Linked DNA regions of Rhinolophus ferrumequinum. Each later gene encodes a partner of the first gene's protein in a complex. Links are inferred from orthologs where the notes say so. Each region holds a gene or a part of one and is shown on either strand. Other genes may lie near its edges. The genes, in order: ELANE and antileukoproteinase.

Region 1 (16,600 bases):
GAAGGGACAATCCTGAAGGAAGCAAGGGGAAAACAACCAGTTACATACAAAGGAAACCCCCTAAGGCTGTTAGCTGATTTCTCACAAAAGTAAACTCAAATGGATTAAATATTTAAATGCAAGGCCTGAAACTATAAAACTCCTAGAAGAAAACATAGGAAGTAAACTCTTTGACATTGCTCTTAGCAATATCTTTTCGGATATGTCTTCTTAGGCAAGGGAAACAACAGAAAAAATAAACAAATAGGACTACATTAAACTAAAATGTTTTTCCACAACAAAAGAAACCATCAACAAAATGAAGAGACAACCTACTGAATGAGAGTAGATATGGCAAATGAAAATAAGGGATTAATATGGAAAATATGTAAACAACTCATGTAACTCAACATAAAAAAATCCAATAAAAAAAATGGGCAGAGGACCTGAATAGACATTTCTTCAAAGATGACACACAGATGGCCGATAGACACATAAAAAGATGCTCAATGTCACTAATCATGAGGGAAACGCAAATTAAAACCACAAGGAGGTACCACCTCACTCCTGTCAGAATGGCCATCATCAATAAATCAACAAACAACAAGTGTTGGCGAGGAAGTGGAGAAAAGGGAACCCCAGTGCACTGCTGGTAGGATTGCAGATTGTGCAGCCGCTATGGAAAACAGTATGGAGGTTCCTCAAAAAATTAAAAATAGAACTGCATTAGACCCAGCAATTCCATTCCTGGGTAATTACCTGAAGAAATCCAAAACACTAATTCAAAAAGATACATGCAGCCCTATGTTCATTGCAGCATAATTAGTAATAGCCAAGATGTGGAAGTGATATCAGTGTCCAGTGATAGACGAATGGATTAAAAAGGTCATATATATATTATATATAATATATATGTATATATATAATATATATGTGTATATATATATATATATATATAGAGAGAGAGAGAGAGAGAGAGAGAGAGAGAGAGAAAGCCAAAAAAAGTATACACATTTTAAGAAAGGAAAAAACTGTATTAAAATTGTAATACACAATATATACCGATAACAAAAGATGAATACAAGTCATGTTTGACTTCTGCAATTACAAGAGGTGCTCGAAGTGGTTACCATCCGTGTAATTTTAATAGTTTTTTCCTTTCTTAAAATTGTATGCATTTGTTTTGTTGGAGCTCTCTCCTCTCTCTCTGTCTCTCTCTCTCTCTCTCTATATATATATATATATATACACACACACACATATATAGTGAAATATTATTCAATCATAAGAAAAGAACAAAATCTTGCCATTTGTGGCAACATGGATGGACCTAGATGGTATTATGCTGAGTGAAGTAAGTCAGATAAAGATAAATACCATATGACCTCACTTATACGTATGTGGAATCTAAAGAACAAAATATTAGGTTGGTGTAAACGTAATTGCGGTTTTTGCAATTATTTTTAACCTTTTAAACTGCAATTACGTTTGCACCAACCTAATAAATGAACAAACAAAATAGAAACAAAAAATAAAGTCTGACGGGATGCAGAAGTGGGTGACTTTATTGCTTCCTGGTGACTCCAGGCCCTCAGGTCCTCCTCAGGCGGCCTCAGCCCCAGCCATCACACCATCGATCCAGGCCGCGTAGCTCGCCACGCGCGTGTATATGCCCGGCTTCTTGGGGTTGCCGCACACGCGGGATCCGGAGGTGACTACGCCCTCGGCGACGCCCCCGCATACCAGCGGGCCTCCGGAGTCGCCCTGCATGGGACAGGGCCGTGAGGGCTGGTGCACCTCCGCAGGCCCTCCTGTTCTCCTGTGTTCACCTGGAGCTCCGCCACTGCAGTTCCTGTTCCTCCCCCTGGCCTCAACCTGCCCTCTCTCGCATCAATCTGCCCAGGCCCTGCCCACCACTGCAGGCCCCACCCACCAAGGCCCCGCCTTCCCAGCTCTCAGCTCGGCCCCTTCGATTGGCCCCGCCCTCCATGCAGCCCCGCCCTTCTGCTGGCTCCGCCCCACTCCGCACCTTGCAGGTGTCCCGGCGGTTGCTCTCTGCGCACATCATGCGCTCCGTGATGGTGCCGTCGTGATACCTGCGCAGGTTGCAGGTGTCTCGGTCCATCACCCGCAGGGTCAGGTACTGCAGGCGGTCGGGCTGGCGGCCCGTGTGGCTAACCACGCCCCAGCCGGCCACGTCGCAGAGCGTGCGAGCGGCCACGTCGCGGTCCTCTCGCTGCCAGGGCAGGGGCTGCACAGCTGGGCCCAGCTCTGCCTTCTCAGAAAGCTGCAGGTGGGAGGAGATGGGCGTCAGGGCTGGGGTCCGGGGGGCATGTAGCAGGAGGGACTACCGCTGGACTCGGTGGGACCTGGTGGGGGGAGGCGGGCGCCAGGTCTGGGGTCTGGGGGTGTTGGATGCAGCAGGAGGAACTGCCGCTAGACTTGGCCGACCTGCAGCAGGAGCAGGTCATGGTCGATGGTGTCGTGCCGGCTGTCCGGGTGGGGCACTGCGCGGAGTACGTCGTACAGGCGCTTAAAGGGTTCCCTCTGCGACAGCGAGTGCGCGCCCAGGAGCACCTGCACCTTCCCGTCGGCCCTGGGAGTGGGGTAGAGTCCACGTCAGAGCAAGGTCCGCACTCCAACCCCTCCCCCACTCTATAGCCCCGCACCCTCGTCCAGGCCACTCACACGTCCTCCAGGCAATGCGCTGCGCTCAATACCCACTGCTCGGCCACCAGGAAGCCGCCGCACACGTGTTTGCCATTCACCTGCACCGAGGCCATGTAAGGCCGTTGGTGGGAGTTGGCCTCTCTGCCGCCCAGGATTCGGCCGCGGGGCTGCGCCGCTGGGGATGGGCAACAAGCGCGTGAGGACGTAGGGGATGCCTGCAGCCCAGCCCACAGACGCCGTTTCCACACCCCAGGCCGCTCTACCCGCCTCAGACCTGGAATTCCATCCCTGGATCCCCACACCCCAGCGTCGCAAGCTCAGATGCCTGGGGGCCTGGGAAGGATAGGGAATGCCAGGGTCTGGGGCACATTCCGTCACACACAATGAGCAGCACGGGTTCTATTTAAACCTAAGAAAAGTCCCAAGAAAAGTGGAGCTGACAGGACCAACACTCCTGCTGGCCTGTTCGGCCCGCCGGCCGCCAGTTTCCACTGTAGAACTGCGCATTTCAGATCCAAGTTTTGAGAATTCCTGGACTTTCAGAGTCTTCCATTCACAAGGACACTGACCCCTTCTGCCCACCGAGAGGGGCTGGGAGACAGTCCTGTGTGACAGAGGGGGTCCCTGGCTGACTGCTCTGTAGGCGGGTGGCCCCTAGCTGGTCCACTCCAGTTACAGGTTCACTCACCGCATAGAGCTGCTCCTAGGAGGATCAGAGCCGCCAGGTGCACTGAGAGGTTTGCCATGATGCTGCTGTTACCGCCACACTGATTCAGGCGGGGTCCTGGGACACTCTTATGAGGGTGGAGGGGGTGGTGGCTGCCACAGGCCCTGTCTGCTGGGTGGGCAGTCACCCAGCTAGGAAAGAAAAGCCCGCCCCCGCCGGCCCGCTTCACTCTCCTCTGGGTGGGGTTCTCTCCTGCTGTACTTTGCACCACAAGGGGTGCCTCCTGCCTCCGTGCACCTGGCCCAGGGTTGGCTCTGGTGTGGTGAGCAGCCCAGGGTTGGCTCTGGTGTGGTGAGCAGCCCCTTAGGGTGGGCAGAAGCAGGGCGAAGGGACAACCCACACCCACGCCCCCAGAGCACCCCTCCAGCCCCAGGTTTCGAAACAGCAGCTGGAGGCCACGGTTTATAAACAACCCACTTCCTCATTTTTTTGCTCCTCCCTTTTCTCTCTTCCTTTTCCAGCTTGGAGGGGGTAGGAGGAAGGTCACCCCACACCCTTGTCCCATTGCTGCAGCTCTGGAGCCTGATACCCCAACAAGCAGGACATTAGAAAGGTGGTGTGTAGGGGCAAGTGGAAAGACTGTGCCTTCAACAAGGAAATTTAAATGGAAAGTTCAGTGTCTGCCTTTAGGTGTGGCTTGATCCAGGTGCCTTGAACAATGTCAGGCCGCTGTCTCTGGTTTCTCCTTCCTCCTTGATGGCTTTTCTCCTAACCAGGCTCCAGCGTTGTGGCCTCAGAGGCCCCAGACTCAGCCCAGTGGCTCAGTGCCCCCCCTCCGCAATTCCCCATCACTCCAGCCAGTGTCTCCAGGCTGTCTCTGATTGGCTGAGTTTGGATCACATGCCCCCTCCCAAACCAGTCACTGCAGGCAGGGGATGGCAGGTTCTGATGAGCAGAACTCGGGTCACATGACCCTCTCTGTAAGGTGGGGATGGGGGATCAACATCTCATGTACCTATTGGGGGGGGGTGATGGGACCAGAAGGGGGGGATGGACCTCATATGACCCCAGTGGGAACAGTACACAATACTTTCCCCTTTTTTTTTCCTTCCTCACAGCGGATTATTTCATACATACAGAAAAAATTAGAAAATAACATGTGATCTGTTAGATCCTAACATATTTCCTTATTAAAATCAGTTCTGAACAAATGCCCATGAGGATATGAGGTCCAAATTATGTGAGTAAGAGTGTTTAAAATTGCAACAAAATTTGGAAACCACCCTGGAAGATGGGGCGGTTCAATAAATAACCCTGATGGTCCCCAGATGTCATGTGGATGTGGAAAGACTGCCTGCGTATAGTATTGAGTGGAAAAAGCAATTGCATGGCAGATGGTCACATTTCTGAGCAGCTGTTCCTTGGAGAGGTGGGATAAGGGGACACCCTGCGGGAAGAGCAGTCAGGCAGAGGGGACAGCCAAAGCAAAGGCCCTGAGGGGGACCTAGGCTTCTGAGCTCCAGCGGGAAGGTATTGGGGGCCAGGGGACAGAGAGGGGAGAGGAGATTCATCCCAAACTCATGGCGTGTGTGGGGGACAGCATTACCTGATGGTATTTCTCTATTTGCTTGCTTAAGTGATTGTTTCTTCCCCCACTGTCAGACTGTGAGCTGCGTGATGGCAGAGGCCATATCTGTTGTGGTCCCTGCCTGTGGCCCCAGGAAGGTAGAAGAGGGGTACAGGCTGGTCCCCTCTTTCAGGGCTGCAACTTCCATCTGGTCTGGGGGATGCCTTGGAAATCATCTGCTCTGCCCTTCCCCCTTTGGCAGAGTAAAATGCTGGGGAGGTGAAGGAGGGCTCGTCTGTGTCACCCAATGAGACCCCAACCCCCCTTACCATACAGCACCTCACTCCTCCCCGCAGGGAAACGGAGGCTCAGAGACAGTGAGCAAGTTGCCCAAAGTTAGAGCTTGGACTCAAAGCCAGGCTCCCGAACAGGGCTTCACCTCTCTTGCTCTGTAAAACAGGGCACTGACGGGACCGGCCACAAGGGCTGGAGCCTCAGAGGGCTGGATGAGCGAACACTTGCAAAGACTGAGAATGATTCCTGCACCTGGTAAGCACTCAACGAACACCTGCTACAGTGCTTTGTGTCATCACCACGTGCAATGCTAATTTAATCACACAAAACCCGGTTTTACATGAGGGAAACCAGAAATGGCAACTGGCATTCTTTGTGGAGGGTGGAGAAGGAACTTACTCCAATGCTCATACTCGTGAGATTCCCAAGATGCTCTCATGACTGCTTTCAACGCCCAATTACACAACCAACACCAAGACACAGTCTACAAAACAGAGGGTTTTTATTGTGCCAGATGCTGCATAACGGAGCGTGGGAAGGCCCCAGCCAGGGGCAGGTGAGGTGGGGTGACAGGGCCAGCCCCTTCTAGCGGATCCTGCTTGCAGGGTCCCTGGGGTGGAGATGGGGCTGGTCACCGGGGCTGCGAATGATGGAGTTGATCCAGTCGGCAAACTGCGCGACGGGGGCAAAGGCGTCTGGGTACAAGCCGGAGCCACAGCTTCCCCGGATGAAGGAGTCAATCCCATGGATCAGCCCGTTGCAGACAAGAGGCCCACCGGAGTCCCCCTGTGTGTGGAGCCAGACTAGGTGGGGAGGCTGGGCTTCCGGGGCTCCCCACCCACTGCCCTTCAGAGTTGGGAAGTCTTTCCCAGGGTCTGGCTGCAGTTCCACTTGCTGCAGTCTGGGCAGGAGTGAGGGTGGAGTGGTGAGGGGATGCGGGTACTTACGAAGCAGATGCCTGCCCGCCGGCGAGGCACCATTGTGCACACATTTGTGGGGCGGCAGAGGGATGTTACCACGGTCACGTTGAGCTCCTGCAGGACTCTGGGTGGTGGCCGGTTGGTGCCCAACCGGCCCCAGCCCATGGCTAGGCACTGCACCCCATTGCCCACGCCTTGGTCCTGATCGGGCAGCTGGGCCACCTGCACATTGGCATTGATGGTGGCTGACCCATTGAGCTGTAGTGGGCAGGGCAGAGGACAGGAGAGTCACACAGGGAGGTGGGCACCGGCCCTCCCCTTTCTGGGCCTCAATTTCCCCACATAAGGTCCCACCATGGTTCTGGGATTTTACGGAGTAGGCTGCCCACCCAGTGAGATGCTCCCCACCCTCAGTCTCAGTTTTCCCATCTCTGAAATAGGAACAACAACAGTGGCTCAGGGCGTCCCTGGATGTGTATTGAGAGGAGTAAACATACATACTCAATATAACAAGCTATGGGCAACACCAATGACAACGAAACCGTATTCTAAAACATTCCAGAGAATAATCATAACTCTGCCAGCAGTGGGGAAGGGAGGGTTTCTCCCTCCAGTTTCCCTTCAGCCCAGATGTGGGGAATTTTGCCATTTCACAAAGGCAGGAACAGTCCCTGGGCACAGGGCCATCAAACACAAATAATCATAACATTTTGTTGATTGACAACTAGATCTCTCTGTGTCTAGATCTCTCTGTGTCTTCTCGTTCACTCTCTCAACAGCTTTGCCAGGAGGGGCTTGTTTCCCCAGGTTACATGAGTGGAAACTGAGGCACAGAGACGAACTATCAAGTTAGAGCCGCATGTGACCTCCAGTGTTTCCGCTCTGTCTCTGCCCTTTCCAAGCCTTTGGCCCTGGGCCTTTGCACCTGCCGGTCCCCTGCCTGGGCATCACTTCCCACCCCACTGGCCTTGCACCTTCAGAATCACGATGTCGTTCAGCAGCCTCTCGGGGTCGAAGCCATTTTCAAAGACTTGCTGGATGGCAAACGACTGTTGGGTGGGCTCACGCTGCCCCAGGTTGTGTGCCCCCAGCACCGCCCGCACCCTCTGGAAGTTTCTATAGGCAAAATGGGTGCAGGAGGTGATTCGAGGTGGCCCCAGGCGTTGGGGGTAGCTGAGAGACTCCAGAGCTCAGCCAAGCCCGGCTCTACACCCAGGGGTAGCATCGCCACCCTGGGCAGATGCTTGGGCTCATTGGCTGAACGCCCCCACTTGGGCCTGGTAGGGGAGATGCGTTCATGGGGGACCCCTGGAGGAGCCTGGGCCCTGGTCTCACTCTCCCCCTTTGACAGATGTGGAAACAGAGGGTCTGAGAAGGGAAGACACACGGGGTGGCGAGGGCAGGGAAGGCGATCACTCACATGCCGTTCACACAGTGCGCGGCCGACATGACAAAGTTCGGGGCCACCAGGGTGCCACCGCAGAAGTGGCCTCCTTGCCGCTGCAGAGACACCATGAAGGGCCATGCGTGGGGCTGGGCCTGCCGACCACCCACGATCTCAGAGGCTAGCGCGGGACCTGGGGATACGTGGAGGCGGGGGTAGTGAGTGCCACGCAGGAGCCCCACCTGCTGAGCCAGTCAGCCCTTGAACTCTCACCAGGAACCCACAGATCAGGGCTCTTCATGTGCCAGATGAGGAAACTGAGGCACAGAGAGATAGGGGGCCTCCTACTGCCCCCTGCCAGGGCACAGCTAGATCTGGATTTAATTTGGCTTTGCAGTCCCCAGAGCATGCCCAGTGATGCCCCAGTTCAAACTCTGGGCTCTTCACCACTCTGGACCTCGGTCTCTTTCTCTGGAAACAGGTCTCCCCATCCCAGCCATCACCTCCCCATGAGGGTGAAGAGGCCACGCAGGTTTAGGGCACAGTGGAGAGGCAGGAATGGAGGCCGAGAGAGAGATGGACAGACATGTGGCCCCACTCACCGCCCAGCAGCATGGTCAGCAGGATGGAGGTGAAGGTAGGACCGGACGGTCTGCAGCTTTGGGTCATGGTCGGGCGGGGGCTTTGATGTCTGTGCACCCCCGTGCCCACCGGGCCTTCTTATGGCTTGATGCCTGGGACCGTTGCATTGCCCCACTTCCTTTCCCCACCTCCAGGACAAGGGCGATGATGGGAAGACAGTGGGGGTGGGGGGAGGGGGCGGCGTGAGGGGCCTGGGTTGGCTCCAGATAAAATTCAGGACACACAATTAAATTTGAAATCAGATAAACAATGTTTTTTAGTGTGTGTCCCAAATATTATACTTATTTAGGAACTTAGTCATTGTTTACCTAGCATTCAAGTTTAACTGGATGTCTTATATTTTTGCTAAATCTGGCAAGCCTAGGCCCAAAGGGCGTTGGCTGGTTTCCCCACTTGCCTTAGTTTACCCAGGGCACAGGGGTGATGGAGGACTGCTGGGTCCCACTTGAGAAGAGGAAACTGAGGCACAGCGAGGTGTTCCCCCATGAGTTCCTACACAGTGACACGGTGGGTAAGCTAGGCTTGAACCCAGGCCCCACAGTTTCCAGCTGGAGGGTGATTTGCTCCACCTTCCTCTTGGGGCTTGGCCTGCCAACCTCTCTTTGATTGTTGCCCACAACAGGGACTCCCTCCCACCCAGGGCCACATCAGTCTCTGGCTGCCAACAGACGTTCTGGGAAAGAACCCCTTCTCTCTGAGTTTTGCTGAACTCCCTTCCCTCCTGAAGTTGGAGAGCTTCTGCTGGGCCAGTGGAAGAATTCAATCCGAACAACAAGGCCCAACCCCCACCCCATGGCCTGGTTCCTCTTCCCACCTCCCCCAGGATGCTCCAGCTGCAACGGCCATAGCCAAGGCTGTCGCAAGAAGCAACGTTCTCCTGGCCCGGAGCAGGGTTCAGGGGAGGGAAACAACGGATCCATCGGCAGGAAGAGGCAGGCGGGAGCACCAGGGGTGCCCGGAACCAGAGCTGGAATCCTGTTCGTCCCTGGGTCGACCCCGATGCATGGCCACGAGCAAACAAACTCCCTTCTCTCTCAAGTAAGGATGACAGCACTGCGCTCCCAGACCCTGGCGCACAGCAAGCACTCCATGTCTGCCCTTCATTCCTCCCGTATCAACCAGTCCTACCCCGCTCCCTGCTTGGCAGGGCTCCCACCCAATTGCATTAAAGTTATCATAGAGCACTGAGTAAGCACCTGCTGGATACACAGTCCTGTTTCCAGTCCTGGAATGGGGGAGAGTGGAGGAAGCCATGTCTTTGGGGGAAGAGTGGCTCAGGCAGAAAGACCCCATTTAACCAAAGCTGCATTTATCGATCACCACCTGTATACTATGTTCCCACATCTCATGGTGGTCAAGCTTATATCCTGGTGTGGCCACTTGCCCACTACATAACTTCAGGCCACTGACTTAACTCTTCTGTGCCTCAGTTTCCTTTTCTGTAAAAGGAAAGTTATAATAATAGGCTCCATCACATAGGCTGTCCCAAGGATTAAATGAATGAACATTTGTAAAGATTTTGGATAAGAAAGTGATATCCTGGAGGGTTTGTTAGCCATTAACCACCTCCAGGAGGGCAGGATGGTGATTGTCTGGTGGGTATAGGCTAGGATGCGAACACTGGGCTTCTAATTTGCAATCAGAGTAGTGGCGACACTGGCGACACCCTTATAATGAGTCATGGAGCTTACAAGTAAGACGCGCGCATTTTTAGGTCTCAGTTACAGCCCAGTAAGAAAACAATGATTTGAGTGCCTTTCCCCACTGCTGGAGGCCTGGGGATCCCTGAGCTATAGGAAGCAACCCCGTACAGCTGTGGTCACCAGCAGCAGAGACTACCCCCACACCCTCCCCTCAAGGAATCCCTTTCACCCTGAGGCCTTCCAAGTGTGTGCTGATCATCCTGCTTGTTATTCCCATGGGCTTCTTTCAACAGCTCAGCTAACCTCTGGCAAATCCACCCAACACCTCCCTAAACCCCACCAATTCCCACTATTGGGTCTGGTCTCTGCTGTGTAGGGCTTCCCTGGGTCATCTTTCACACACATCAGCCCCAGAGAACCCTCCTGGCGGTGTTTTTGTTGGTCTTTCTGTTTCCAGCATTCCCTCTAGCAAAACTCTTCTACCCCCAACACTGTGGGCTTTTTATAGAAACCGCTTCCCCGCCTTGGGCCCCTGGGAGATGCAGGGAATTCCCAGCAGGGAATTCCCCTGACACTCATTAGCTTATATTTCCCAGGATTCATCCAGGTCCCCTGTCTCCGCACACATTTTCTCCTGGTGCTGCTGGTGTAAACCAGTCATAGCACCTACACTGGGGTGGTAACTGAGGTATAAAAGAGTTGCAGAACTGGGCAGGCCTGGGAATTCTCGTTCTTGCTTGTATTTTGTACGCTGCCACCAGGTGGTGGCAGAGTAAATCAATAACGAAAGATCCGCCTTCCAATTCCAGTGTGTCCCATGAGCAGTTTGGCCCCTCTCTCTGAGCCTCATTCCCATGGCCATTTGCCCACTGGCCAATGACCTCTACCGCTCCCTGCCTCAGGCCTCTCCTCTAGGCTTACCCCAGTTCATATCTGTGGTCTGGCATCCTCTATTCCCACCACCTCTCTGAACTCTCCTCCCCCACCACCTTGCCTTGCTCCATTCCAGCTGCAGTGCAGCCTTGCAGTCCCTCTGCCCTCGCTATGCCCCTGTCTGGGGGCCCTTCCCCTCCTGTTCCTGTTTGTGCATTGGCAGTCACCTCAGTCATTGCCGCCTCCTCCAGGAAGCCTCCCTAATGGCTGCTCTGCCTGCCTCTGACCGGGGAGGAGCCCCACAGGCCCCAGGCATTCTCTGTTACCACAGCCTGGTCTTCCAGCAGCCTCACCACACACCCCCAGCTGGAGACACAGAGCTGGAAATGACACCCCCCAGCCTTGAGGGTCAGGGTGAAGCTCCGTGGACAGTTCTGGGAAATGTCTGGGGTGACTCCCTTTTCCAGACAATGAAACTGGGCCACAGAGATGGACAGCAGCTTGCACAGGGCCATAGCAGCGGGGTTGGATTAGATCCCATGTCTGTGGGCATGGGAGGGTGGGGAGAATGCACTGTGACCTGAGCCCTCCACGGACCTCCAGGCCTTGGCTCCAAATCCCCATCCCGAGTCTGGGGTCTGGGGACTCACATGCTGGGGACACTCTCCCACATTCGCGACAGACACGAGCCAGAGGGGGGTTTCAAGTTTTATTGATGTCACCATGGGCTGAGCACCGGCCCCCTCCCTGTCCTGTTAGGGCTTGCTGTCTGGCCTCAGCCCTGGGGCATCAGTCTGGAAGGGGAGGCTCGGGGGCTGTCCTCGGCCCCCTGCGCTTCTCAACACGGATTGAATCCAGTCCACGTAGAGGGACACTCGAGCGAAGAAGTCGGGGTACTGGCGGGTAGCGCACTCCCGGATCAAGAAGGAGTCCACGGCCTGGATGACGCTGTCGCAGATCAAGGGGCCGCCTGAGTCCCCCTGTGAAGTGTGGGGACAGGTCACTCAGTCACCCAGGACTTGGCTACGTCAGGGAAAGGGTGGCTGAAGACGACCTAACGCCATTTACGGGTAAAATGTTTCCAGTCCAAAATTTTCTTTAGGACACGTGGACGAGAGAGGGAGATGAGGCCACTCTGGAAGACAGCAGGCGTTTCTTCCAGAGTGGCCTCATCTGTATACCTGGATCCCTGGATTGAGACTAGGCTAGTCACCCACACCTCCCCAGGTCTGAGAGGGCCCCAGGAAGGGACAGTCCCCAGACCTATGAGGGCCACCAGGTATGACCTGAGCGGCCCCCTCTGTGCCTGTGGGAGCTGAGGCTGTTCCATGGATCATCCTCTGAACCCTCACAATGGGTGTACCCTCCTTCCAGATGGGGAGACTGAGGCCCAGCCTGCAGCTGCTCAGTGAAGAGGAAGTGGATTCGAACTGCAGCCTACCACCCACCCTCCTTCCCCTGGGTGGCCGCTGGAGCCTCCTCTGCTCCAGGGCAGCTCCAGCCTCTAGGGAGGTCCCTCAAGCCATCCAAACGCGGTGTGGGGCACTGGGAGCTGAGCGGATACATACGAAGCAGATGCCAGCTTTGCGACGGGGAACAAAGGTGCACACATTATGTGGCCGGCACAGGAAGGTGACCACGGTGACATTGAGCTCCTGCAGGACGTGGGGCAACGGCGCACGGGTGCCCAGCCTGCCCCAGCCCATGGCCAGGCACTGAGTGCCGTGGGGCAGCTGCTGGTCCTGCTGGGGGAGCTGGGCCACCGCAACCTGGGCGTTGAGGTTGGCCGGGCGGTCCAGCTGGGGCAGGGAGAGAGTGGGTGGGCAGTGAGACCCTGTCTACAGGCCCCATAGCCACCCCCTCCTCACATCCAGCCATGTCCTGACCACCCCAAAGTGCCTCCTCTGGGCTTTTGCACATGCTGTTCCCTCCACCTGCCCCCTTCTCACTCACTCTCAGGTTCTACCTTGGAGGTCACCTCTTCCAGGGAGCCTACCCTGATTGACCTTCCAAACTCTGCCAGAGCTGTTTTACAGTCTCTGACACTGCGGGCCTCCCCTTGTAGCATTTGTCACTATGGCATGCATTCACTTACAAAGCAATTATTGAGTGCCAACTGTATGCTCCATCCTCTCCTAAACCCTGGGGATCCTACCTCCAAGAGGATGACAAACATATAGTCAAGGGAAATGATGACATGGTGAACCATAAATCAGGGCTGTCGTTCCTGCTAGGGTGAGGGGAGCCCTTGCTAAGAAGGTGAGGTTGGCACCTAGGCTGGGAACTACTGTCTGAATGGCTCTCTCCCTGCCAGGCCTGCTGTGTATCAGGCCATGTACCAGCTGATGAAGGATCAGCCAGCCCACCCACCTGCAGGAGGAGAATGTCGTTGAGCTTCTGCTCAGGGTCGTAGTTGTTGCCAAACTGGCGAGCGATGGAGAACCTCTGCTGGCTGGGCTCAGCATTCTGCAGGTTGTGGGCCCCGAGCACCACCTCCACCAGGGCGGGGGGCCTGCAGGGTCAGGGCACTCATGCCTCGGCCCCCACGTCCTCCACTCCCCACCCCAAAGAGCACCCTTAGGCCCAGGGTGCAGCCCCCTTGGTGACAGACCCAGGCAGGGCCGCCTCCCCCCTCACTTACATGTTCTGCAAGCAGTGGGCCGCGGTCAGCACAAACCTCGGATGGATCAAGGTGCCCCCACAGAAGTGGTTTCCTGCCACCTGCAGTGATGCTATGTAGGGTCGTGAGTGGGGCTCCGCTTCCCGGCCACCCACGATCTCTGCGGCCTGTGCTGCCCCTGAGGATATGGGCGTCGCAGCTGTCACTTTTCCCGGCTGGGCCCATCCCCACCCACCTCCCTGGGAGGGAAGCACTGTCCATTTTGCAGATGGAGAAACTGAGTCAAATGTCCCAGAGCTCCACCTTGCTCCCTTCTCCCTCCCCTTGAGGCCTTCATCCCAAGCAGTGAGTGGGTCCTGGCCTGCTCCTGCCTCAGTCTCCCTGTCTGCGCCGTGAGGGCGTTGGGCTGGCCGTCGTGGGTGGAATCAGCAAAGCCTGGCTTGTTGGACTGAGGAGCATGTGGCCCCACTCACGGGCCAACAGCATGGCCAGCAGGACCAGGGCCAGAGCAGCGCCGGAGAGTCTGTCGCTTTGGGTCATGCTTGGGTGCAGGCTCTGGGATTCCCCGGCCTGCCCATCCCTCTTATAGCCCAATGTTCAGAGGCCGTTGGGGTTGCCCCACGCCTGGGCTGGGCATCCCCACTTCCTCCTTCCAACTTTGGGGCCACAGGGAGCTGGTGGTTGAACAACACTCCAGGAGGACGTGGAGAGTTAAGCTCAGGGCCCTGACTCCCCTGTGAGTGTGGGAAGCCCACCCCATTCCGGGATCCCCTGGACAAAGGGCAGCATAACAGCCCTCAGTGGGGCACACATTCCACCCTCCATACCTCCCCCCATGGGATCCCTTGGCCCCAGCAAAGCGGGATATGGCTGGCGTGTCCAGGCGCTAGAGTGAGCCCCACTCATGGGGACTGGAAAAGCGACGGGAAGAGCAGTGGGAGCCACAGAGGCGTGTGACCACCTGAGACCCAAAAGAATTCACTGTTCCCTCTAAGGCAGAGTTCTCGCCCAGGTGACTGTGCTCCCAGGGGACACTGGGCCTTGTTTAGGGACATCTGTGGTTGTCAGGACCGGAGGAGCTCCTGGCATTGAGTGAGTGGGGCCAGGGATTCTGCTCAACCCCCCACCATGCCCAGGATTGGGGGGGGGGGCAGACAACCGCCCTGTCCCAGTGTTCACGAGGCTGAGGAGAAGAGATCTTAGTTAATTATTTGGGAAAAACTTGAGTTCATTCCCTGCTCACAGTAAATACCAGAATAAACCCCAATAGCCACACGGTATAAACCAGGGTGGCCCCAGTACTTCCTCCCTCCTCCCACTCGGGCTGTGTACTAAATGTGAGCAGCCTCCTAGGACCTCAGAGTCAAGTGGGTATGGAGTGTAGTCTCTTGGATCAGCAGAACCTCTGACCCATGGGTTAAAGGAGGGAGGCGCTGACACTCTCCACAATGGACCCTGAACACACGGTGCTCACGAGAGAAGCCGGACACACAAGGCCACACAGTGTGTGATTCCACTTATGGGAAACGTCCAGAACAGGCGCGTCCACAGACAGGACGTGGGTTAGTGGTTTCGGGGGATGGTAGCGGGGATGAGGCTTCCTTTTTGGGGTGAGGGAATGTTCTGGAACTAGATAGAGATAGTGGTTACATAACACTATGAATGCACCAAATGCCACTGAATTGTTAAACGGGCAAGTCACATGGCTTATAAAGTATGTTTCAATAAAGCTTTAACCAAAAAAAGAAAAAGAAACACACACACACAAACCCTGCTAGATGATGCACCCATGAAGGGGGAGCCTCCCTGCAAAGTCTTGGGGTCATTCACCGGCAGGGAGATGGTCCAGGGTCCCCCTGACCAAGTGCTCTGCTCCAGGTGTGCATCACACCGAGGCCTGGGGGCAGGCAGGTGAGTACAGGATGGGGGCTGCCTGCAGGCAGAGGGAATAGGGGATGTGAAGGCTCCTGGCTGGGGCAGGAGTGGGGCGTGGGGAGGGGGAGGCGTGACTGTAACGGCAAGGAAGCCTCTGGGGCCTCAGGGGGTAGGACTGGCGGGTGGAGGGGAAGCTGTAGCCTTCCCACTCCAAGTGTTGGTGGTGTAATTAGCAACGGGGCCACAGGGGCGGGAATGTGGGTCCATGGGGTCACTAGGACTCAGGCGAGGAGGGAAAGAGAGCAAGCGGGGCCCAGTCTGTGTCTGTCTCTTTTTCGTCTCTTCTCCTTAAAAAAGAAAAATACTCTTTTCTTGAGTGTGTCAATGTGGGTGACTCCAAGCTGGAGGACCACACGCTCTTGGACCCCAACCCCCTCAGGCCTCAGTTTCCCCATCTGAACAATGAGTAGGCAGTGACTTGATCTGTCTAAACTCCAGCTAGAACCCCTGCACCGATCTGGGCTCCTGCACTGCCACTGACATTCCTCTCTGGGCCTCGGTCTCCCCATCTGTGAAATGGGTTAATGGCAACGCAACTAACCTTAGTGGTGGGTCAGTCTGGGCAAACACTGGGGGCTCCTGGTGTCAGTGGGCTGCATTGGGGGCACTGGCACTCAGGGCAGAGGACTGCAGAGCCCCACAGACCCCGACACCACGCAGCTCGGGGCAGAGCTCTGGCCCCCTTTGTACGGGTCGCAGGTTCAAGGTGTTAATGGGTCATGGCGCACACGCTATCTACAAGCCTTGCAAACCAGGCAATTCGTGGCCCAGTCCATGATACAGGGGTTGCCTCTTGCAACTCAGATCAGCAACATTAAGGCTCAGCTATAATGCAGCGCTCCCTCCAGCACAAAGAGGTGTACTGCTCTTCTTTAACTTATTGTTAGCTTTTAAGCTTGATTTCTGCCCCCACATAATCCAAGCATCTAAAAGACATGTAAAAAAGACTGGAAAGTCTTGTTGCAGCTCCACCCCCTCCGCCACCAAGTAAACTAACTGGGTGTCCTGGGCTTCTGGGTGCTCTGATCTGTAAAAGAAAGTGTAACACACACACACACACACACACACACTGTTTGTCTCCACTGTCCCGTGAAGACCCCTTGGGTCAGTGAACAAGGAGCCTCCACCCTTTAGACAGCTGCATAATGAACCAGACTTTGAGCATTCTGTGTCTCCTCCTGGGGACACTGGATTGTTTTCAGTCTCTTTTCCTTCTAGCCATGTGGTAGGATCTATCCTTGTACACTTGTCCTCCACACAGTACAGGGTGACAGATGGGGTCAACCCCAAGGTGGCGCTGCTGGCTCAGAGGCCCCACATCGGTCTTTACCAGGAGGGCACCCCAGTGACGTGCCCGCCCCCAGGCAGATGCCCACAGTGTTCTCAAACTGCAGGATTTTTGCACA
Region 2 (15,760 bases), on another chromosome or scaffold:
AGAGTGGCCGGATGGCTCAGTTGGTTAGAGCATGAGCTCTCAACAACAAGGTTGCCGGTTCAATTCCCTCATGGGATGGTGGGCTGCGCCCCCTGCAACTAAACATTGAAAATGGCAACTGGACTTGGAGCTGAGCTGCGCCCTCCACAACTAGATTGAAGGACAGCTACTTGGAGCTGATGGGCCCTGGAGAAATACAACTTGTTGATCTGTTTGTTTTACCTGAGTCAGAAATCAAGTTCATATCAGGAATTCTAGGGTAATAGAATGATTCAAGCCAAAGTGTAGAATCAAAGATAACGTAAATAAAACCCAAATAAAAAGGTTATTTGGGCAAGGGATCACATTCCAAAATGATCTCAAGTTAGACTTTTGACCTTAAAAACAAATTAAGTTTATACAAAATCATGGTGACATAAAGACAGGAGTTAAAGCAGAGAACCTTCATCACACAACTTAAACTTGTATCTCTGCAGCTCACAATATATTGATATTTTCCATAAATCTGGAAATTATCTTGGTGATAGCTCATTATCTTGGTGCCTGTGTGTTTCAAAAGTTCGTTTATTCGAAATACACTCTTCCAATGTACCCATTTCTGACATCTGTTGGGAGGGGTAGGGTTTAAATTGTTCTGGAAACATAGTGAGAGGCTGGAGTACTTTTAGAACTGAGGAATGCCCTGTGAGAGACAATTCCCTCCCATTGCCTCAAACTCCACTGCATAAAGAATTATTAGGGGCCAGGCCAGCCTTGACACTCCCTAAAAAAGAGGGGGAGCAGTTGTGGGCTTTCAGAAGTTAGGGCCCCAGAGGTTATTACAGCTCCTCTTCTGGGGGAGGGGGCGGGGGTGAAAGGAAACAGCTGATAGGAAAGGTCAAATTAAGGCACCTCTGACCTTGGACCATGGAAACTACAGCTCCCCCTGCTGGTGGGCCCCTGCCATAGACACTATAAAAAGCCCGCCTCGTCGTTCACCCACACGCTTTTCGTGGATTATGAAGCTGAGCAGTTCGTCTGGCCTCACCGTGGGCTTCCTCCTCATCTGCCTCTACATGGCGCAGTCTGGATCCCAGAAAAGTGCGTGTAGGCTGTGGCGGTCCTGTGTGTTGTTGGGGTGGGGAACGTTCCCTCGGAGGAGTCCACGGGACAAGCTGGCACTGATGCCCAGCGACGACCCACAGGTGCCCCAATCACCCTGTGGCCTTTTTCCTCAGATGTAGGTAAACCTGGATACTGCCCAGAGTTCTTACTTTCCTGCCCTTTCATCCTTTTACCTCTGTGCCGGCGCGATAGAGGTTGCAAAGGGGCCAAGAAGTGTTGTTTCTACAATTGTAAACGTCAGTGTGTGGAGCCGTGGTCGAGTTTGGATTGAGGTGAGAAACCCCACATCGGCCGTTCTCAGCTTTGTCCCAGAAATGTTCCGGGAGAACCAGGAGTCCCACAGGGAGTTGAGAACTGCCAGTGCCCTTGGAAATCATTGAGATCCGAGCTTTTAAATGGGGCTCTGCCCTGACATTTGCCTCAAGGACAGTAAAGACGGAGGGTGAGAGTTGGGGGTGGGAGGGCATCAGACCTCTTATCAGACCCCACACTTTATTTCATGTAATGGGCCTCACTCTTCTGCTGTGAGTGATGGGGACATTTGGATAAGTATTACTGAATTTTCATTATGACTATTTTCAATTGCCATTGTTTTTTCTTCCAGCTTCTCATAATGAATCCTTTTCCTCTTCCCATTGAAATTGTGAGGTAAAGGATTATAAGATTTTAATTCTTTAGGATGGCTGATCCCCAGTGCCTGATTCCTTGGCAGCACATCTCAGGGCTCTTGGGAGGAGAATAGCTAGTGGGATGCCGACCACAGTGGTCTCGCGACCCAGTCCCTGCCCCCTGCAGGTTTGCACCGTCCCATAGCTCTGATTCTCTCTTCTCTCCCCAGGGAGAAACCCCTTCTTAACCAGGCCTGAGAAGACACTGGTAGCACAGGTCAGACGGATAACTGATCTCCAGGTCTTTCTTGTTCTCCTCAAGACTTCCTTTTATCAAGAGTTTAATGCTTCCCCTGAAACTAATTAAAAAAAAAAAAGTTGAAGGCTGATTAATATAAAAATAAAGTGTTAAATATTAAAAATTACTGTACATGAAGATCTATGGCTGCTGGACCCCTCCCCCACCCATCCATACCCCTTTCTCTGTCTTCAGCTTTTGAGGGAGATCTTTTAAGGTTTGTAAAAGAGGATGGAGGTACTGTTTCCCATTTAGTTTTGATCAGTTCCTGAGCTCCTGTTTTTCTGATGTGTTTCTCTCGTTCAGTGTCTTCTGACACTCACAGTCTCTGTTGGTCAGATTCCAAACCGTGACCTTGGACCCTGGGGCATTTTGAGTCGTATCTTCTGTGTTTGGACCCCATGAAATGTGTACACGTTATCCTGAAATGGAGGAGCAAGCCTGTTTGCTACGTTTTCTCTGGTGCTACCACTGGTAGTTTCTCCACTTGTTGGAGTAATATATCTAGGACGAGATTTGGGACTTTGGGTTGGACAAGGAGAAGGACAGGCCTTAGTGCTAGGCTACATTAGGGTCTAAAATGTAGGCCATTATAAACCAAGAAAAGGAACTCTTGTCTGTTGCCCAGCTTAGCTCCCTTGATTCCTTGTTTAGGAGTTGAGTCCCTAATCTACCTAATAATAAAGTATTATTTAGCCTTGCATCTTCTCGCTGTCTGCTATGTGAATCTGTCTTGATTAGGGATTTCAGGTCATGGAGTGTGGGTTTCAAAAGATGTGTTTTTCTTTGACACATGCATCTTAAACAAATTTTTGAAAAAGTGTGTATTCTTTAGAAAGTTTCAAGTTGACATTCAATAATTTTCATCATAATTTACATAGTTGCAAGTGATAAATTGGGGACTTCACTCTTTTTAATATTTCTAATGGAATCTAATTACCACTTCAACGACAGTGCTTGAATTAAAGTCCCACGTCTCAGAATGGGCCAGAGATGGAAGGATTCCTGGCGAGCTTGGGGGTGAGCACCTCTTCCTTTCCTAGGGCCAGAGCTCAACAAGTCCTTCCACTGAGCCTTCCAGGAAAGGGGATCCTGACAAATAGGGGCCAAGTTCTCTGTGAGGGAGTGTGTCTGGACCACCTGCAATTAGCCTTTGACTAAAACACCTCTGTCTGCCATATTCACTCTACCTCTCTGTTATACTTCGTCTCATTCTCATTCTTGACATTGACTTTGTTCTTTTCTTCTTCATCTCATTCCCTCTGTGTCTATCTGGCTTTCTTTTAATTTCTGGTTCATTTTAATCTCTCTCTTTCTCTGTGTCCCGTCGCTAACTCTCAGTTTTTGTCGTAATGTTTTCATAGGCTTGTCTTTATTCTCTCCTCTCTTTCTGTCATTCTTTGTTCTGTGTGTCTTTATCTTGCCCTGGGACATTCACCTGAATGTGACCCTACACAGACATCACAAGCCCGCTTGTCACAGACTTTTCATCGCCCGCTTATCAGGCTGTCCTTAGCACGCTCCCCTCGTCTACATCGGGGTTATGACTGCTCCCCCACAGCCTTCCTCTTGGTATCTGGGGGACTCCTTTCACCTCCTGGGAAGATGGCCTCTCGTGCACTTGTCAAATCCACCTCCCTTCTTGTCCATGTTGTCTGTGTTCAGAAGAGAAAGCTGGAGCCTGCCCTCCTGTCACCCTTTAGTGGTGCCAGGTCGACCAGCTCTTACTGCCAGAATGACCGGCAGTGCTCAGAGAGGACATGCTGCCCTACTGTGTGTTGCATGAAGTGTAGGAATCCGGTAAATGTTCTGAACCTGGGTGAGAGGGTCCTATCTGCAAGCAAGGGGCAAAGACTGAGACTCTCCAAGGATGGAGAGTTTGGGAGTGTAGGTAGGTCTCCTTCTGAATCTGGTTGGGGATAAGGCCTAGCTGGATCTCTGCCACTGCCAACTTTGTCAATCTTACTGGTTACTTGATCAGTTAGTGGAACCCCTGGCAGCCTGACTGTAGGTAAGCCACAGTCAGTCCATCAGGCCTTCCTTCATGAGAGGCTTAGGCCTCCATTTGGGGACTGAGAGCAGGAAAAGGTTGGCTTCTATGCAGCAGGATAAGGCTGGGCTGTGGTCCCAAACAGAAGAGGGTCCCAAGCTCTGGACCTGCTGTCTCCAGTTCAGATGAAAGATGGGGAGTGTTCGGTGGTAGAAGGCACTCGTATGATGCTCAACCCTCCAAACTATTGCAAAAATGATGCTCAAAGCTGACACAGCCTTAAGTGTTACAAGGGCAAGTATAGGAAGTGGTGCATTGTCCCTAAGGAAGAGCAGAAGAAAGGCTAGGCTCAGTTCTGTGACCCACCTGCCATCAGCCTCCCCCAGTGTGGCCCAAATCCGTAGAAACTGTCTTCATTGACGGGGGGCTGCCTCATGTGTAACCCTCAGCAGAACCTCCAGCCCTTCAATACTATCTCCCACAATCCTCCACGCACAGAACCTCAGAGGATGGCCTGCAGCAGCACTTCTAGGCCTGACCTCTCTGATCTGGGCCCTGGGAAAGAGATGGCCTGCAGAAGCTTGGAGAAGCAGCCCTAAAAGAAGGCATAAAGAGAAAATCTTTGTGACTTCAGGCTATGCAAAGATTTCCCAGACACAACACCACAAAACATAATGAAGAAAAAATTGATGACTTCATTCATTTTTAAATTGGGATTTTATCAAATTTAAAAACTGCTACTCTTTGAAAAACAGTATTAAGAAATGAAAGGTAGGCCACCAATTGGGAGAAAACATTGGCAAAATACATATCTGATAAAGTACTTGGATGTAGAACATATAAAAAACCCTCAAAACTCAACAAGAAGAAAACAAACAACCCAATAAAAATGGGTAAAAGATTTGAACAGATCCTTCACCAAAGAAGACATACAGATGGCAAACAAGCACATGAAAATAATCACTTCCTCATTAGTCTTTAGGGAAATAACAATAAAATTTCAATGAAATGAGATCTCTCACATACCACTGGTGGGACTAGAAAATGATAAGACACTCTGGAAATAATTTAGCAATTTATTCTAAAGTTAACATACACTTACCATACTACCTATCAATCCTACTCCTAGATATGACCCAAGAGAAATGTAAACCATATCTACACAGAAACCTGTACGTGAATGCTTAGAGCAGTTTCATTCATAATCACCAAAAGATGGGAGCAACCCAAATATCTTTCATCAGGGAGATGCATAAACAAACCATGACCTGTCCATGCAATGTAACAGGATTCAGCATTGTAAAGGAACAAACGACCAACAACACAGATGAATCTTAAATACATTACACTAAGTGAAAGAGGACATACTCAAAAGGCTACATACTGTTTGATTCCATCTATATGACAGCCTCAAAAAGGCAAAACTATAGGGATAGAAAACCCACCAGTAGTTGCCAAGAGCTGGGAGTAGAGGAAGGGATTGACTACAAAGGGTGCAAGAGGATTTTGTGGGGTCATGAACTGTTCTCTCTCTTGATTGTGGTGGTGGTTTCACGGCTATAAGCCTTTGTCACAAAACTCTGCACACTGAATAGGGTGAATTTTACAATTAACCAGACAGACACAGTCCCTCTTCTTTAGGACCTTATCATCTCATGGAGAATCATCCCCATAAACTGGACTTATCCTCAGTGATAATCATCAAGAAAGTGGTAAGTGCAGGGCAAGATGGGGAGTAGAGGAGGGGCTCCCAAGTCGCGGGGAAAGAGAGAGAGAGAGAGAGAGAGAGAGAGAGAGAGAGAGAGAGAGAGAGAGAGAGAGAGAGAGAGAGAGAGAGACACTATGTACAAAGGAAGAAGATGTGGTACATATACACAATGGAATACTATGCTGCCTTAAGAAAAGATGAAATAGTGCCATTTGCGACAACCTGGATGGATCATGAGATTACAATGCTAAGCGAAATAAGTCAGGCAGAAAAAGTCAAGAAGCCTATGATTTCACTGATATGTGGTATATAAAACTGGAAACAACAAAGGAACAGGACAAACAAATGAAGAAACAGAAACTCATAGACACAGACAATAATTTGGTGGTTACGAGAAGGTTGGGGGTGGTAGATGAGGGTAAAAGGGATCCAACATATGGTGATGGAAGGAGAACTGACTCTGGGTGGTGAACACACAATGTGACATATAGAGGATTACAGATATATTACAGAACTGTACACCTGGAACCTATGTAACTTCACTAACAATTGTCACCCCAATAAACTTTAATTTAGAAAAAAAGAAGAAGAATGCTTACGCTTGGATGCATGGTGCTTTACCTGAGTGATGGTACATCTTTATGGTGAGCTAGGTGAGATAATAGGCTTTCTTTCAAAAACATCTTCCTTTATTTTAATCAGAGTTATACATACAGATAGACTGCAGAGTCACAGTTTTACAAAGGTGGTGGTGCAAAACAGCAGTTGCTTATCACCACCATCACCACCACTCTCACCTCCAGAGGAAAAGAAACCACGTTTAGTTTATTATGTTGGCACTTACCTCCCTGTCTCTAAGTAGTATTTGTGTAACGTCACATCTTGACTTTTCCGTTTTAGATATAATCTATTGACTGTCCACAATTGCAAACGAGATTTTCATCTACCTCTTCCCTCTCAACACTTCTAGCCCATAGGCCCACCCTTCCATCCTCCTCCCTCCCATCAACGTTATGCAATAAATTTGATTAGATCTGTACTATTGTTTACTTTATCATGACTATGTAAACACTTGTCACAGCTGAACTGTGTAGTAAACGATACTGTTTTTCTTTTCTGGCACAACTTTTTTATTCTCTCTGAAGTGAAAAATTGTTGAGTTTTACCTTTGCTTGGTTTTCTATATAGCTATCACCTATTCAACCACAAATTCTCCTCCAGTTGCCAAAATTTCCTCTGCCTGTATTCATATGCATCTATTAATTTCACTTTCTAGAAGATGTATTTCCGAGACCCCTCTGACCTGCTTCAGTCTGGGCTGGTGGCCCTGGATTTCTGGTACTCAGCTGTCACTTTGGGATTTTGTCACCAGCATCACAGGGGAAGGGGGTTGTCACTTCTTTTCTCCCCTACATTCTGTTTTCTGAATCCCATGCTTTTTTTTTCTTTATTTCACCATAATAGGCTTGCACGCAGTTAATAATCAGTAAATGAAAACCTTCATTATAATCATGAGAGAGCAGTGGACTAATTTGGGGATGTGGGAGAAATTTTTGAGCCTGTTAAGTGGTGCTCTTTTTCTACCTGGCTGTTCAACTCATTGCTGAAAAGAGTCTTATTAGTTTATCTCAGAAAAATTGGTTCCAATGTGATTTGCTTCACATCAGTTTCCCTTCCAATCACAATGCCATGGGGTAGTGTGTCCACTGTCCTCAATGTCCTTTCCCCTGCTTATCTCAAATCCTTCTCGGTGACCTAGTCAGTTGTTATTATCCCCACTTCCCAGCTGGGAAGACTTAGGCCCAAAGAGATTTTCATTGCTGTCCCCACTGCACCTGTTATTCAACGAGGATTCTTTGAGAAACCCCTTTGTGACCCGCAGAGTGCCTGGAACTACAGGTATTATATCAGAACAAGCCAGGAGAAAGTGAGTGAATGTGTCAGCTGACGCTTACAGAAGGGAGGGACTTTGGGTAATCCCTAAGAGTCCGGGAGTGTGGGAAAGTCAAGGTTCATTGAAGGGTCACACCTCACTGATTGTTCCAGGTTTCTGAGAAGCTCCATTATGTCCCTCCGTTCGGCCCTTTAATCTCCCTTTTTCCCCTCCCCCTCTCACCCCAAAGGCAGGTGGTTCAGGGTTCTCTAAAGTGTTTGTGAATGGCTCCTGGCCATTCTGGTGACATGTCCCCCTCCAAGTTCTATATTTTCCTTCCTGGGCCCCAGGCTCTTGCCTAGAGCAGAAAAGAGCCACCAACACTCTACATGGCAAGGTCACTGTCTTTGCCTGAGTTTCCTGCTTATGAAATAGCAGCTGGGAGAGCCAAGACCATTCTGGTTGGGCCACACCCACAGGGAGAGGTATAAGGGCAAAGGCGGGCCCTGGCCACCTCAGCCCTACCTGCTCTCACTATGAAGCCCAGCAGCCTGGTCCCCTTTGTGGTGCTCCTGTCCCTTGGAATCCTGACGTTGAGGTCTGTGGAAGGGGCTAGCAAAGGTGAGTCAGTCTCAGGCCATCCAGGTTCTCGGCATGGCCTCTTCCTTTTAGCCCAGGTGACCTGGAAGCCATATTTCCAGTGGTCCAGCCTATGGCCCGTAATTTCAAGCATCTCTCCGAGGACTTCAACCAAGAGAGTTTCTGAGCTCCTGGAAACCCACCTTTCACCAAATGGACCTGTTGACCTCAGTACTTGTCATACTGTTTCTTTCTCTACGGTGCCTTCTCTACTGTTTGGTCGTTTTCTCTGTCACATTCTTTTCGTCTCCATCTGTGTAATTTTCCAACTTGTTCTCTTTTTCTCTTACTAGCTCTTTTTTGATGGTCACTTTCTCTTTCTCTATTTACTTATCAGTTGATCTGCTCTCTTTCTTTCAATCTCTGATGAGTTGTCTCTCCTGCTATCACTGCCCCTCTCTGTGTTCCTCCCAGCCAGGGTGTATCTCTCCCTCTACCTGGGCCGGGAACACCTAACCGTGAGCTCTATGCAGCTGGGTCCTGGAACTGGCTCATACTGGCTTGCAATAGCTGACTGGTAAATTTTCAAGACTTTTGTGGGCTAGTTGACATCACATTGGTAGCTTGAAATCAATTGTGAAGGGAGTATTTACACCATGGAAATTGGCGAACACTACAAAATCTCCCTCTTAAAACATTTACCAGCACACCACCATCTGTGTCTTCTTCCCTGGGCCATTGACACGCTCTTGGTTGAGAGCTTGGCTGAGCTTGCCACTGCCCCACACCTGCCTTAAAACTGGAATCCTAACTGCTCCTTCCCTTCTTTTGGGGTCAGCCACCTGGGTTAGGTTTTCTCTCCCCTCCTGAGAAGCTGGTTCCTTGTCCAGGATTATGGTCATGACTCAGAATCAAATCTTTCTCCTTCCTTTGTTCTTACCCTTCAGAAAAATCTAAATATGGAGCCTGCCCCTTCATATCCCCGGCGATGTGCCTTGTCTATGAACCCCCTCAGTGCCACAGTGACTGGCAGTGTCCAGAGAAGCAGAAATGTTGTCCTGACCTTTGTGGCATCAAATGCTTGGATCCTGTAGACCCATCAAAGCCAGGTGAGGAAGTAGAGTCCTGGAAAGGGGGACCAGGGAAATTTGAACGTGAGGACACGCATCTTGGAGAAGTGGAGGGGGCTTCTCTGAACTAGGCTGGATAATGGGGCAGAATCAGGCCTCGTCCATTCCCAGCTCAGCATTCTCAGGTTTTCAGTTGGTCAGTAGGTAAGCCAGTAGCCATTGGCCAGTCCATGAGTCAACTCATTGACAGCAGTCAGTCAGTCAATGAGTCAATCTGTCCTTCAGACATTTACAACACTGCTGGGAGCCTCCTCAGTGGGAAGGAATCTTCTTCAAGACATGCGCTTGACTCTGTTTGGGTACGGAGGTAGGGGAGGACCTGATTTCCATGCATGGGATAGAGATGGGGAAGGGAGCTTGGATGGTGTCTAGGGGATCAAGCCTCTGAGTAGTGGCTTTCTTCTCACCAGTTGCGGTCAACCCTGAGAATTGTCCAGTAGTCATTGGCCAGTGTAAGATGCTCAGCCCCAAAGACGACTGCCTGAATGACAGCCACTGCCTGAACGGTTTCAAGTGCTGCAAGGGGATGTGTGGAAACTCATGTGTCAAACCAGTGTGAGGTAAGGAGAAGATCTGGCAAGTCCACATTCCCCCCATCCTAATACAGCCTCAAACTCCGTGTGCTCTTCCAGGTAAAGGGGGACGCTTAGCGTCTCCCTGCAGCCCGCACCACCAAGCAGATCCTCTGCCCTTCAACAGTATTCACCCCCTGTTCTCCAAACAAGAAGTCTCCAGGCTCACTTGTGATTGGTAGTGCTGGGTCCTGGGAGGGAAGGATTCTTGGAATGAACTAGGAGGAAGGAGCCGTGTCACAAGGCTGCACAAGTTCTATCTTTTAATATCATCTCTGCCTCTGACTAACTGTGTGACTATGAGCAACTGACTGTATCTTCCATAACTTTTGTTTCCTAATCTGTAAAATGGACACAATTATATTAGTTGGTACAAAAGTAATTGCAGTTTTTTCCATTAAAAACCGCAATTATTTTTGCACCAACCTAATATCCACTGAGATACTACCTGTAAAAGTACTTTTTAAGATTGAAGTCCTATGTGCATTGAGTATTGCTATGGTTGTGGCCTCATTTGGTTGGGTTATCTGGACCCACAGGAAACCCTAGTATGATGCACAGATTTGGAGGCCCGATGCTCTGATTTTACCAGAGGGAAGACTAAAGCAGAGAGTCAGTGAAAAGCCTGAATTTGTTCTAGATTCCTAGATGAAAGACCAGTACTGTTTCAACTATTCCAGCACCGTGTTCTCTTGCACTCTCTTTATCCCAAGGGATTTCGGGCGTGATGGCAGAAGGGGAAAGATGTAAGGGGCACTTACTTGGATTGTTCCTGTGCTGAGGCTCTGTTTTATTTTCTTTCCACAAATTTATTTTTATCAGTTCAAAACCATTATGATTTCCTGGTATCTGCGGTCTGGGGATTCCTGCCGCACCCCCACCCCTGAAGCCTGGAGAAAATGAGAGTACCTTGATGAAGATGTAGCTTTGTAACCAATACTTTCTTGAGGTCTAAGTTTGGACCTGTTTTATCAACGTACGCCCAGCATCCAACATGAGGCTTGGCACACAAAAGGAACTGTCTGTTGATTAATGAACAAATAAATGTACAAAGTTTTCTCTACACTTCTATCTTCCTTGACTCATTGAGTCTGGTCTACAGTATGACGGGTGAGATGAAGAACGAAATATCCGCATGCACAGGGTTTCACCCACAACCTGTGAAGTGGAAAGAAGAGAGTTTGGAGTCAAGCAGATATGGGTTTAAGTCCTGCATCTGTAGTTTACTGGCCCTATAATGTTGGGCAAGTGCTTGTGACCCCCTGAGCTGCAGTTTTGTCAACTATAAGATGGGAACGGTACCAGCAATGCCAATTCCGTTGTCATGAGAACTAGAGGTGATAACGTGAAATGAATAGCCCCGTGATTGTCATACAGTAGACAATAAGTGCTAGACTTATCTCGGGTAAAAAGGCTTTTTCAAGCGAGGCACAAAAACATTAAGAAAATGGCCGAAAATTTGACTACATCAACATAAAAAATTATAAACACAAAAGAGTTAAAAGATAAATACTAGCTTTGAAGTAAATATTTGGGGATCATTATAACAGACAAAGAAACAGAATGAAAAACATGTGAAGGATTTCTACAAATCAGGAAGAAAATCAAGCTCTTAGAAAAAAAGGAAAATGAATAGATAAGCAATCAAAAAAGAGGTATTATTATAATAGATGGTTAACATCACATAGAAGAGCTTCAACCTCACTAGTTATCAGGAATAGCCAATTAAAACAACCAGAAACACCATTTTTCATCCATCAGAATGGTAAGAATTAAAAGTCTATAATATAGGGCCAGCCCAGTGGCTCAGACAGTTGGAGCTCTGTGCTCCTAATGCCAAAGGCTGCCGGTTCGATTCCCACATGGGCCGGTGGGCTCTCAACCACAAGGTTGCTGGTTCGACTCCTCGACTCCCACAAGGGATGGTGGGCTCCACCCCATGCAACTAAGATTGAACACGGCACCTTGAGCTGAGCTGCCGCTGAGCTCCCGGATGGCTCAGATGGTTGGAGCACATGCTCTCAACCATAAGTTTGTCAGTTCAATTCCTACAAGGGATGGTGGGCTGTGCCCTCTGCAACTAACAACAGCAACTGGACCTGGAGTTGAACTGTGCCCTCCATAACTAATATTGAAAGGACAACAACTTGACTTGGAAAAAGTCCCAGAAGTACACACTGTTCCCCACTAAAGTCCTGTTCCCCTTCCCCAATAAAATCTTTTTTTAAAAAAAGTCTATAATATAAACTCTCAGAGACTCAAAAGTGTGCTGATGTGCATATAATTGGGACAGCCACTTAGAAGAATGATTGTTTATGCCTAATAAAACTGAAAATGCACATAAGCTATCATTTAGGACTTTTCCTTCCAGAAATATAGGCAACACTAAACATTTGCCAATGAGAGCCTAATACACATATTGGGATCTTTATTACAAGATTGTTCCAAAGAATCAGAAACTGAAACCAACCTAAATGTCACTCATTTGTGAAACGGTTAAAGTTTCATACCTTGATATGCTATAGAAAAATTAAAATAAATTTGCATGAGTCCACATGGAGACATATCACAAAAACAGTTTGTTGGGGAAATCATATCACTGATATAAAGATTAGTATGAAGTATTTTTATATGTTTAAGAATCACACAAAATAGCAAGTTGTTTATGAGTATACACCAACGGATACACACCAAATGTGAGATGATGGCTTCCTGTAGAGAAAAAGGATTGAAAAGGGGACTGGTTGGGCTGGCCCGGTGGCTCAGGCTGTTGGAGCTAAGAAAGCATAAATCTGGAATGTAGAGAAAAAGAATAAACTGGGTTTGAAGCAAAGAAGACTCTACAGCAAGAGAGAGAGACCTAAAGATAACTAACCCTAGTGTCCACCAATATTCACAGTCTCCGCTTTTTCCTGGGCACACAGCTAGATTGAATTTTCCATCTTCCTTTCCAGTTGAGTGCAGCTATATGACTGAGTTCTGGTCAATGAAGTGAGTGGGACTGATGTGTTCCAATTCTGGACCAAGGACCTGGAAGGCGGTGTAGCTGGAAGGAGCCTGGGATCCTGAGTTTCTTTGTGGATCACGGCCTCTCCTCCCCACTTGCCTGGGACTATGACGTGAGCAAGAAATAAATTCGTGTTGTGTTAAGCCACCACTGTTTGGAATTTGTTTATGACATGAATAATCCAGTCCTGATCACTGTTTGGAGCCCAGTGTCAGTCCACTGTATGGCTTCATTTCGTTTCCTGTCTTTGAGTTCTGTGTGATGCCTCATTTCATCATGGATCCCACATGGAAGTGTTTGAATCTAATCCATGTTTGGGTGGGGATGGAGGTGGGAAATGAAAGGAGAAGAACCAGAAACTTCACTACAAGAATATCACGTATGAATAGATTGTTTTCACTCTCCAGGTCCACTAATGTTAAGCAATTTTCTCTTGCACATGCTTTCAGTGTTTGGTGGAGGAGGGTGACGTCAATCTTCACTGTCTGTTGATTCAGTGTGATGGATCGGTGACGGCTGAGAAGAGGGGAAGGAGAAACCCATCTTTTTTGGCAGGAGTAAGAGTGGTTTTTGTCTTCCACTCTAGCTCAAGCTTACTCTCAGCTTATCTAAAATCAAATATTTGAAACACAAGGTTAATTTTTCCCTGAAAGACTCCCAAGTTCTACATGAAAGAGTATGGTTTTATTCCATGGGTCCCTTAATTCTGACCTTACTGTGCTAAGAGGGCGTCTGCCCCTCCAATACTCTGGATACATTTTAAACCTGTCTTACAGCCACTGCCGCGTGCTGTGCTCAAATCACTGCTTTCTAGTCTGACTCTTTTCAAAGAGGTTCTCCTTTCAGAGAAGTTAGCTTGAGGGGGTATCTCTGTCTTCCAACCAAAACAAACCTTGACTCAAGGTACGGGAAACATGGATATTGAGAAATCACTTGGCCACGTTTGAATAACCGAGGTTGATTCCTAATTCTGCTGCTGACTCAGTCTGTGACGTTGGACAAGTTCTTTGACTCCTCATTTGTATAATGAATGGATGATCCATCTGCCCTTTAAAGTCCCACTTTGTTCTGCTTTTATACAAACTAATGAGTCTCAGAAGCATTTTGAGGGAAAGCCCCGGTAGGAGGGGCCACCCCATCGAGTTCTATGAACTCCCTGTAATTCCAGGTTCTCCTCAGCCTTGTGACCCCACCCCAGCCCATCCTTTGTAGTTGTGCGGTCAGCTTCCAGGGCACCTGCTTACCCGGCTATTGTGACTTATGGGTGTCCCAATTAGCCGCAACTAGAATGTCAAAGGTAGTCTGTCCTGTAACACCCTCTTAACGTACAGATGGAGAACTGAGGCCCCAAGAGAAGAGCTGTCCGAGATCATTCAGTAAGTCAGTGGCGGAGCTGAGTACCCTTTATCTCCAAGCCCCACGCTCTTTCTCTTTCTTTTCACGTTTATTTTTTTCAGATTATAGAGTGGGTGCCGTGATGTGCTGTCCAGATCCCCCTTTAGGGCTGAGGTACTCATGCCTGCAGGTGCCGGGAGCGTTGGCTGCTGACACTCACAGCTCAGTCCCTCCCTGGGAGTTGCCCAGGCCGAAGTAAGCTGCTTCATCCAAGGTTACACCTCGTTCCCAGGGCAATCTGTATCCACTGACTAGTTGATGTAGGGATTCAAAGGCTCCCTTGTTCAGTTAGGGACACTGACGGTCCCTCCTCACTCCCGCGCTCCCCATGAAGTTGGCTGAGACTTTGTGGCAACTGCATCACAATTCCACTTCTCCCTCTTCCAGCCATGCTGCTTTTACCTTTCACATGTACCTTTCACATTACTCCTCAGACTACTCCCCAGAAAACCTCTGCACATAAACATCTGCCTCTGAGACTGTCCCCCGGGGAACCTTATTAGAATAAGTCATCATTACCCAAAAATTCATTAAAACTGAAAACTACTCTGTGAAAGGCAAGGTCAAGAGAATAAGACAAGCCACAGAGTGGGAGAAACTATTTGCAAAAGACACATCTGATAAAGGACTGTTGTCCAAAATTTACAACCTCAACTCAACAGTAAGAAAACAAACCACCCGGGTTAAAAAAAAAAAATGGTCTAAAGACTTTCACAGAGACCTCAGCAAAGAAACTGTACGGATGGTAAATAAGCATGTGAAAAAACGCTCCCCATCACATGTCATCAGGGAAATGCAAATAAAAAGATCAGTGAGACACCACTACACACCTATGAGAGTGGCCAAAATGCAGAACCGTGACGACAGCAAAGGCTAAAAAAGATGTGGAGCAACAGGAACCCTCATTATTTCCTCGTGGGAATACAAACTGGTACAACCGCTTGGGAAGACAATATGGCAGTTTCTTACAAAGCTAAACATACTCCTACTCTACAATTCAGCAGTCACACTCCTTTGTATTTACCCAACGGAGTTGAAAACTTACAGCCACACAAAAAACTGCACACAGATATGGATAGCAGCTTTATTCATAATTACCAAAACTTGGAAGGAACCAAGATGTCCTTCAGCAGGTGAATGAATAAATAAATGATGGTACATCCAGACAATGGAATATTCACCACTCTGGTGCGGGGTGTTGCTAGTGGGATCGACTATTCATGCGTGGGGGTGAGGGGTACGTGGGGAATCTCTGTATTTTCCTCTTAATTTTGCTGTGAACATAACTCTGCTCTTTAAAAAAAAAAAGAGTCTTAAAAAAAGAATTGGGGAATCCAGTGTTATTTCTGGACTCTAAATATTTTTTAATTCATTGGTAAGAGCTTAATTTTTTTTTCGAGTGATCATTGTCAAAAATTAGATAAGTAGCAATCAACAGAAAAAAAACCTGCCATCGCCTTTTCAGTGTGTGTTCTATGTATAACCCAGGCGTTTAT

What was found.
Region 2: the proteins of ELANE (region 1) and antileukoproteinase are in contact, whole or in part, in a crystal structure (PDB 2Z7F), measured with the Homo sapiens proteins. The link is inferred for Rhinolophus ferrumequinum from reciprocal best matches to the Homo sapiens genes ELANE and SLPI. Residues at the interface, in NP_001963.1 of Homo sapiens: His53, Phe54, Cys55, His70, Cys71, Asn74, Val75, Pro111, Val112, Asn113, Leu114, Leu158, Ile165, Leu180, Arg182, Val197, Cys198, Phe199, Gly200, Asp201, Ser202, Ala216, Ser217, Phe218, Val219, Arg220, Gly221; in NP_003055.1 of Homo sapiens: Tyr93, Gly94, Gln95, Cys96, Leu97, Met98, Leu99, Pro102, Phe104, Met121, Cys122.

What each region holds. Positions count from the first base shown.
Region 1 is NC_046301.1:62,052,531-62,069,130, forward strand, and holds ELANE (neutrophil elastase), read right to left. Parts: upstream 8,240-16,600; 5' UTR 8,151-8,239; coding exon 8,084-8,150; intron 7,675-8,083; coding exon 7,518-7,674; intron 7,214-7,517; coding exon 7,072-7,213; intron 6,356-7,071; coding exon 6,125-6,355; intron 5,964-6,124; coding exon 5,763-5,963; 3' UTR 5,661-5,762; downstream 1-5,660. Other genes in the region: CFD (complement factor D), read right to left, coding at 1,582-1,743, 2,009-2,266, 2,431-2,575, 2,668-2,824, 3,338-3,395; PRTN3 (myeloblastin), read right to left, coding at 11,395-11,619, 12,208-12,438, 13,010-13,151, 13,281-13,437, 13,733-13,799. UniProt on the Homo sapiens protein: Serine protease that modifies the functions of natural killer cells, monocytes and granulocytes. Inhibits C5a-dependent neutrophil enzyme release and chemotaxis. Promotes cleavage of GSDMB, thereby inhibiting pyroptosis. Promotes blood coagulation.
Region 2 is NC_046306.1:12,642,169-12,657,928, reverse strand, and holds antileukoproteinase, read left to right. Parts: upstream 1-8,079; 5' UTR 8,080-8,117; coding exon 8,118-8,202; intron 8,203-9,107; coding exon 9,108-9,269; intron 9,270-9,700; coding exon 9,701-9,849; 3' UTR 9,850-10,670; downstream 10,671-15,760.